2 linked regions of the Ovis aries genome follow. The main gene of each other region encodes a partner of the protein of the gene in region 2 in a complex. Links are inferred from orthologs where the notes say so. Each region holds a gene or a part of one and is shown on either strand. Other genes may lie near its edges.

Region 1 (3,566 bases), on a different chromosome or scaffold from region 2:
AAGGCAACAGCTATAAAATAAATAAATACATGAAAACTTTTAAATGATAGATGCATGAAAGCATTTAATTGTAAAGCTAAAACTGAAACAGAGAAGTTTGAGCTTACACTATGAAAACACAACTAGAGATTGAAGAAACTGTTGACCACCAAAATAAAAAAGTGAATATAAATCTTCAAAGATAGGTTTTCACTAATCCTTTCAAACTTTATGTCAAGAGAAGCCCGATAAGGTGGCCACCCACCTTTTAAAAGCCTTCAAGAGCTGTGAGTTCTGGACCTTCTTTATCTTTTCAATCTTGAAATTTCTCATGGAAGCTTTAAAATGATCACTTACTTTAGCATATTCTGGAGTATTGTTAGGGATTTCAAGCAACTGAAAGAAATTTAAAAATATGTAAATGTGAAGCAGGAAACACTTAAGGCATGATGGGGCTTCCCTTGTGGCTCAACTGGCAAAGAATCCACCTGCAATGCGGGAGACCTGGGTTCGATCCCTGGGTTGGGAAGATCCCCTGGGGAAGGGAACGGCTCCCTACTCCAGTATTTTGACCTGGAGAATTCCATGGACTGTATAGTCCACGAGGTCGCAAAGAGTCGGACACGACTGAGCGACTTTCACTTTCACTCCATGTCCCTATGTGGGCTTCGCAGGTGGCGCTAGTGGTCAAGAACCTGCCTGCCAATGCAGGAGATCCAAGAGACTGGGAGTTCGATCCCTGGGTCAGAACCCCTGGAGGAAGGCATGGCAACCCATTCTAGTATTCTTGCCCAGAGAATCCCGTGGACAGAGGAGACTGGAGGGCTATAGTCCATAGGGTTCCAAAGAACTGGACACGATGCAGTGGCTTAGCACAGCACATGTCCATATGTGTGGCCATGGAGTACCCTTGCCAACCCTCTGACAGCAGGTAGGATAAGCAGGCTTAGGGTTTCCACATCTGATAGTTCCTTCCAGTGATGAACTAGATGGCCCGGAGCCCATCTGTTCAAGGCTAGCAGAGCATTAGCCTGAAGGCAAACAGCACACGCCCCTCCCCGCCCCACACCCCCAGGTGTGTGATTCAGTCCAGTGACCTGGTGAGTTCTTTGCTTAAAGCCAGTGCAGGAGCAGAGGCAATGGAGGTACCCAAGGAGCCCAGGCAGAGTAGCCTGCACCCAAAGCTCGGCTCTGATGTAGCTAAATGATCCAGGAAGAATCTTGCCCCTGGACTTCCCTGGTGATCCTGTGGTTAACAATCTGCCTGCCAATGCAGGGGACATGGGTTCAATCCTTGGTCCAGGAAGATTCCACATGCTGCAGGGCAACTAAGCCCGGCACCACAACTACTGAACTCGTGTGCTGCAACTACTGAAGCCTGCATGCCCTACAGCCCATGTTCTGCAACAAGAGAAGGCCACTGCAATGAGAAGCTTGTATACCACAACTAGAGATTAGCCTCTGCTTGCCACAACTAGAGAAAACTAACAACAAAGACCCAGCATACCCAAAAATAAATAACTAAATAAAATTTTTTTAAAAAGAGTCGCCCCAACCAGGTAAGCTGAGGCCCACTTTGAGTCCCATAGCAACCTGCTTTTTAACTCCAATGAATGGAGTTAACAAGTTGCTCTTACTGTCAGTTCCAGTTTGCTCGCCTGTAAGGTAGAGAAGCAAATATCTATTTTACAAGTTTGTCATGAGCATCTGTCCCAAGGAGATCGTGCGTGCCAGAACTCTGGAAACAACGAGGTGCCCGTCTCCTTTGGAAAGTGGCATGTGACACAGTCACCATTCGGATGTTAGCCTTTGAGTCTCGTTTCAAGGGTTTTGCAGAAGTGATTCATTCACTCCTTCACTCATTCATTCATTCAACCACACACATTTGTAGCAAAGTACTTTGTTGCATCTTTAAATAATTCACCCACTACAGAGTAAAAAGCAAGTACCTCAAAGCTATTCGAGACTGAGACGCTCGCGTCCGGTTGGGGAAGATATATAGTGACGAAAGGTTCTGAGGAGGTCTGCCCCTGCTGAGGGCTAGAAACAAGAGAGAGAAAGAAATTTATCTGGCTCCCTGTTTGATACACCCAAGTGATTTTCTGTGCTTAACTCCAACTAAGCTGAAGTTCCTCTGGAAATTTTCTAAGTCCTAATGTGTTAGCATTAAGTAAGGCTAGGGGACTTCCCTGGTGGTCCAATGGTTAGGAATCCATGCTTCCAATACAAGGGGGACATGAGTTTGATCCCTGGTGGGAGAACTAAGATCCCATATGCCTTGTGTTGTGTTAGTCACTCAGTCATGTCCGACTCTTTGTGACCCAATGGACTGTAGCCCACCAGGCTCCTCGGTCCATAGGATTCTCCAGGCATAGTCAAAAAATAATATTAAAAAACGTAAGTTTGTCTTACAGCTTCTCTTCCAAGTGATAAATATTTAAACACTTTAGTGGTATAGGAAGAGAATCCTGCCTTTCCTGTATGAACTGTATTTCAGGAAGAGTAACCATACATTTGAGGGTTCTCCACCCTTAAATAGAGAACCCCTAACATGTACATAGGGGTTTATCACATAATTTTCTTTAAGTTTGATATTTTCCATTATGAGAACATTACATTTTTAAAAATGCTTTAAGGAAAAAACTCTTTAAAAACCTCCTTTCATAAAATGAAAACTCTTTTGGAAAGAAAGAAGCTGGCCCCAGTTTATATGTTAAATTCTGATTTTCATACTGTACTGGTATAGTGCAAAACAGATTCAATTAATATGTTTGTTGTAAGGTGCTCATCAAAAATGCTATCATTCACTTCTCTTCAGATTGTTCAGAGTAGCACTCACAGCCTTTATTCTATCCTAAAGCCATGTGTCTCTTCTGGGTTTGTGATAGCAGGATTTAAGCTCAGTTCAGTTCAGTCAATCAGTCATGTCTGATTCTTTGTGACCCCACGGACTGCAGCATGCCAGGTTGCCCTGTCCATCACCAACTCCCAAAGCTTGCTCAAACTCACATCCATGGAGTTGGTGATGCCATCAACCATCTCATCCTCTGTCGTCCCCTTCTCCTTCTGCCTTCAATCTTTCCCAGCATCTCGGTCTTTTCCAGTGAGTCAGTTCTTCGCATCAGGTGGCAAAAGTATTGGATTCAAGCTACTTCTTTCCACAAACACCCACAAACAGTTTTCTCAGTTCATTTTATATTTATTTACTTGGCTGCATCAAACAGTCACAGCATGCAGGATCTTTAGCTGTGGCATGTGGGATCTAGTCCCCAGACCAGGGATCAAACTGAGGTCCCGCGGTGGGAGCATGAAGTCCTGGCCTCTGGACCACCAGAGAAGTTCCAACAATGTAGTTTTGACTGGGTTTCATGAGCAGACAGAGCTGTCACACTGAATCCCTTAGCAACATTTCCTTTAAAAATCCATTTTCATCAACTTTGTATTTCTTCAAAGGCTTTACCAGGCAGCTGCTACATCCCTTTTTTCCCCCCATTTCTCCCTCAAACTCCCACCCCCTGTAAATCCATCCCACAAAACTAAAGATACTCAGAGGAACCCAGAACAGAACAAAAACCCAGTAACTGTGC
Region 2 (4,269 bases):
TGCTCACTGCTCAAACATGAGCCTTCATTTCTTGGGAAAGAAAGCCTCTATACTACCCTACTAATTATAATCAGATTACAGTAACACTAAAACCCAAAATAATACTGGCTTAAACGAAATGGTAGATTATTTCTGTCTCACATAGAAGAATCTGCAAATAAAGAGCCCAGGAGTGGATGGCAGTTTTATGAGCATCACAGCCCACTTTCCCTTCTGCTGTTCTACCACCTTTAGCATATCACCTTCTGACCCAAGATGGCCCCTTGAGCTCCAGCCATTACATCAGCCTTACAGTCCCCAGGAAGGAGGAAGGAAGGACACACCCATTTCCTTTAAAAGAAGCTTTCTGAGAGGTGAACGTGAACATGAAGTCGCTCAGTCATGTCAGACTCTTTGTGACCCCATGAACTGTAGCCTACCAGGCTCTTCTGTCCATGGGATTTTCCAGGCAATAGTACTGGAGTGGATTGCCATTTCCTTCTCCAAGGGATCTTCCCAACCCAGGGATCGAACCTGGGTCTCCCACATTGTAGACAGACGCTTTACCATCTGAGCCACCAGGGAAGTCCAACAATTCTGATTGCATCTCATTGGCTATAATTTTGTCATATGTGTCCACATTGGGTAGGGGTGGAAAGGCTAGAAAATAAGTCCTTATTCCAGGCAGCCATGTCCAGCTAAATGTCAGGAGTTATATAAGAAAGAAGGAGCAATTGGATATTGGGGAAAACAACCATATTGGGGGAGTTTGTAAAAATGTAAATGAGCTAAGTTTATAAATGATGTCAGTAAAGTTATTGTGTTAGTTTTCTATTGCCCTGTAACAACTACCGCAAAGTTCATTTCTTAACACAACTTTGACTGATTTATTATCTCACAGTGTCTATAGGTCAGAAGTCCAGCAAAGCATGACTGGATTCTCTGCTCGGGGTTTCATTAGGTCATGTAGGCAGGGCTGCCATCTTCATTGAACTGAAAGGATCCATTCCCAAGCTCATTTAGAATTCAGTTCCTCATAGTTGCAGGATTGAGTTTCCTACCCATCAATCTTTGGGCCAACAAGGTCAGGCCAAGTACTTCTCACAGTACTTCTCTGACCTACCCTTAGGTTATGTCTCTGACTTTAAAAATTCTCTAATTTTAATGGCTCATATGATTAGATTGGGCCCACACAGATAATCCAGGAAATCTCTTTATTTTAAGACCTGTAACTTTAATTACATAGAAAATGTCCCTTTACCATTAAACGCAGGAGGTTTGGGTATGGACATCTTTGGGACATCTGCATGTTATAATCATTAAACTTAAAGGTGAAATAATTAAAGAGAAAGTATCCAGTTATAACACACTAATTCGTGGGAAAAGTGTGGACTTGAAAATTTCCAGTGATATATAACGTAAACACTGGCTCATATTTTCATCATCTTAGAAGGTCAAGTAGTTCCCAGGTCCCAACCAAGAATTCATAATTAATGATAATAATTAATAATTTGATTAACAATTCAAAACATCATATAACGTAAACACTGGCTCATATTTTCATCATCTTAGAAGGTCAAGTAGTTCCCAGGTCCCAACCAAGAATTCATAATTAATGATAATGATTAATAATTTGATTAACAATTCAAAACATCATCTCACTGAGATAATATTCTTCTGAGTGAGTGCATGAGTGAAGTCGCTCAGTCGTGTCCGACTCTGCGACCCCATAGACTGTAGCCTACCAGGCTTCTCCGTCCATGGGATTCTCCAGGAAAGAATACTGGAGTGGGTTACCATTTCCTTCTCCAGGGGATCTTCCCGACCCAGGGATCGAACCCGGGTCTCCCGTGTTGGAGGCAGACGCTTTAACCTCGGATATCTAAATTCAATAATTGGTCTAAACTGAGATAATGTCCTTCTCTTGGGTTTACAAACCCATTTTTATAATGAGTGTAAGTGTAAAAAAGTTTATAATCCTTATAAGATATGTGTGCTTTACCGAAATGTTTGAAACATGTAGAGAAGCTGACATATTATAATGATGATTCTACTGAAATGTGTAGGAAGATTTAAATTTGCGATCAATGTTTAGATAATTTGATGTGCAAAATGTGTAGATTTTGACTTGGTTATATAAACAGTGTTTGAATATATAGACGATTTTTGCATAAGTGGTTTTGTGAAGTAAATAAATTAGACAACAAATAAAGCACAGATGGTGGCTAGTGTTCCTCTCCAGACACAAAAATCTCCTAGGACTTTAAGGAACCTAAGAATAGAATCCAACTGTCCACCTTCTCTACACCCACGCCCTGGCAGCTGATTGCTACAAAGAAAAGTCCTGCTGAAGGGTATGCTGTGCTGCTAAATCCATGGTCTCTTGCTGCCCCTGGTCCTCTGTTCTCCCAGCAGTTCTTTTGTGGTTTTCTTTGCCAGCTTCTTTTCTCATCCTCCCCAGAATCCAGCTGAAGACTTCTGTTCTCTCCTTAAACCTCTTACTCCTCCAACTCTGCCCCCACCACCCGCAGCAGACTCTTCACTCTGCTTCACTGAGAAAGCAGAAACCCCAGGAGAGACCCTTCCACCAGCACATCCGGAAACTCACCGTCCTCCTCATCTCTCCTTCCTATCTGGCTCAGTAGAAGTTGTATCCTTCTCTCTGTCGAGGCAGCTATCTTCATCCACCTGTCGTGGATTCCGTTTCCTGCAAACATAGCCTTTTCTCTTCCTCTCCTCCCTCCTGTAGGTTAGATGTCTCCCTCCCCACTCCCTCCTTCTGTTTAGCTGTTAAATAGACTCAAGTCTCTTAAATCTAAAACAGAAAGAGATGGATGTGGAAACCGTGGTAGACATGTAGTTACCCTCAGCTTTATATGCTAGTGAGCGTCACCTCTCCTCCCCTTTACAGCCAGATACCTATGCGCCCAGGTTGCTCACGCCTTAAGTCAACTGTGGCCTCTGCTGCTGTATGTGAACTGCCCTCAGCTGGTCACGCAGGACTCGCGTGTCACTAATGTCACTATAGTCTGGTCCTCTGTCACTCAGGCTCTCCCTAACATTTGACCCTGTTGGCCACCTGCTCCTTCTAGACGCACTCCCTGCCCCCACTTCCCTGACTGTACACGCTCTGGGCTCTCCCTGCAGCTCTCTGCTGAGGCCTTTTTCAGGCTCCTGTACCCCGGCCCATCTCCTAAATGGCAGTTTCCCTCGAGGTTCTGTCTTAGAATTCCTTTTGTCCTGACGCATTCCTAAAAGCACGCGTCTCCGTCCATGTGCTGACAACTTCCACGTTCTTTAATCTCTGTCCATAACCTCCCTCCTAAATCTCAGGCTTGTACGTTGCCTGAAGTGAAGTGAAGTCGCTCAGTCGTGTCCGACTCTTTGCGACCCCATGGACTGTAGCCTACCAGGCTCCTCTGTCTATGGGATTTTCCAGGCAATAGTACTGGAGTGGATTGCCACGTTGCCTATCCCACCTCAAAGTAAACTTGCTAAAACTAGGCTTTCATCCCTTAATCTGTTTCCTGCTTTATTCTCTGTGTCTCAAAATAGACCATCTCTGTTGCCCCAAGGAAACAACCAGCCACAATCCTGCCTCCCTCTCCCACGACCCCATCCAGTCACTCACATCCATCAGTTCCATCCATTGTTTCCCACCCATCCTGGCTCAAACTACCGACCCACATCGCAGATAGAGTTCTATGAAAGCATCCTAACTGGCCCCTTGGCCTTTGGTGAGTCTGTTCTTCACACTGGGGTTGCCATAGTGATCTAGTTAAAAGAGCTTCACTGCCTTAAAGCCCTTTAGGGGATTGTGGGGGAAGGGAGAGGGTCTAGGATTAAAACCATATTCCTTAATGAGATTTTTTTAGGTCCTTTGCAATCTAGATACTGCAATCTCCTTTTATTCATTTTACAGGAGTGTAGAAACTTACAAAATAGCACCATTTATTAGCTGAGGGAAAATGGCACCCTTTATGTGTTGGGGGACATGTAGCTGGCGTATTAAATTAAGAATATGCAGATTATGACCTGCTAAATGAGGAGGCACAACCACACGGGATCAGCAAGTGACTCCCTCGGTTGCCCAGCTGGGGAAGTAAAGACCTGCAGTTGTTTTGATTGAAGGTACAGTACAATCCACAAAGGAAGTAAAATTGAAAGACTTATTACTTAGAGATCCCAGAAACCAGGAGCAGGGAAAGGGAGGCAGTGAGTAAGGAGAAGGGCAGTGCTCTGACCCAGTTCACATGTGAACAGGCTAGCAAGAGCGTATTACGTATAAGG

Evidence for each region. Proteins that work in one complex are often made in the same cells at the same time.
Region 1: the proteins of KHNYN (region 2) and ZC3HAV1 are in contact, whole or in part, in a crystal structure (PDB 9BGL), measured with the Homo sapiens proteins. The link is inferred for Ovis aries from reciprocal best matches to the Homo sapiens genes KHNYN and ZC3HAV1. Residues at the interface, in NP_001277186.1 of Homo sapiens: His651, Lys652, Asp654, Phe655, Gln658, Arg659, Pro661, Tyr662, Asn677, Phe678; in NP_064504.2 of Homo sapiens: Glu5, Val6, Cys8, Phe9, Lys12, Ile13, Ala16, His17, Glu29, Ile30, Ala31, Leu32, Leu113, Glu115, Phe118, Ser127, Gly128, Leu129, Asn130, Glu133.

What each region holds. Positions count from the first base shown.
Region 1 is NC_056057.1:104,110,564-104,114,129, forward strand, and holds part of ZC3HAV1 (zinc finger CCCH-type antiviral protein 1), read right to left. Parts: intron 2,020-3,566; coding exon 1,929-2,019; intron 376-1,928; coding exon 245-375; intron 1-244.
Region 2 is NC_056060.1:20,563,198-20,567,466, forward strand, and holds the start of KHNYN (protein KHNYN), read right to left. Parts: upstream 2,861-4,269; 5' UTR 2,697-2,860; coding exon 2,588-2,696; intron 2,192-2,587; exon of another isoform or gene 1-2,191.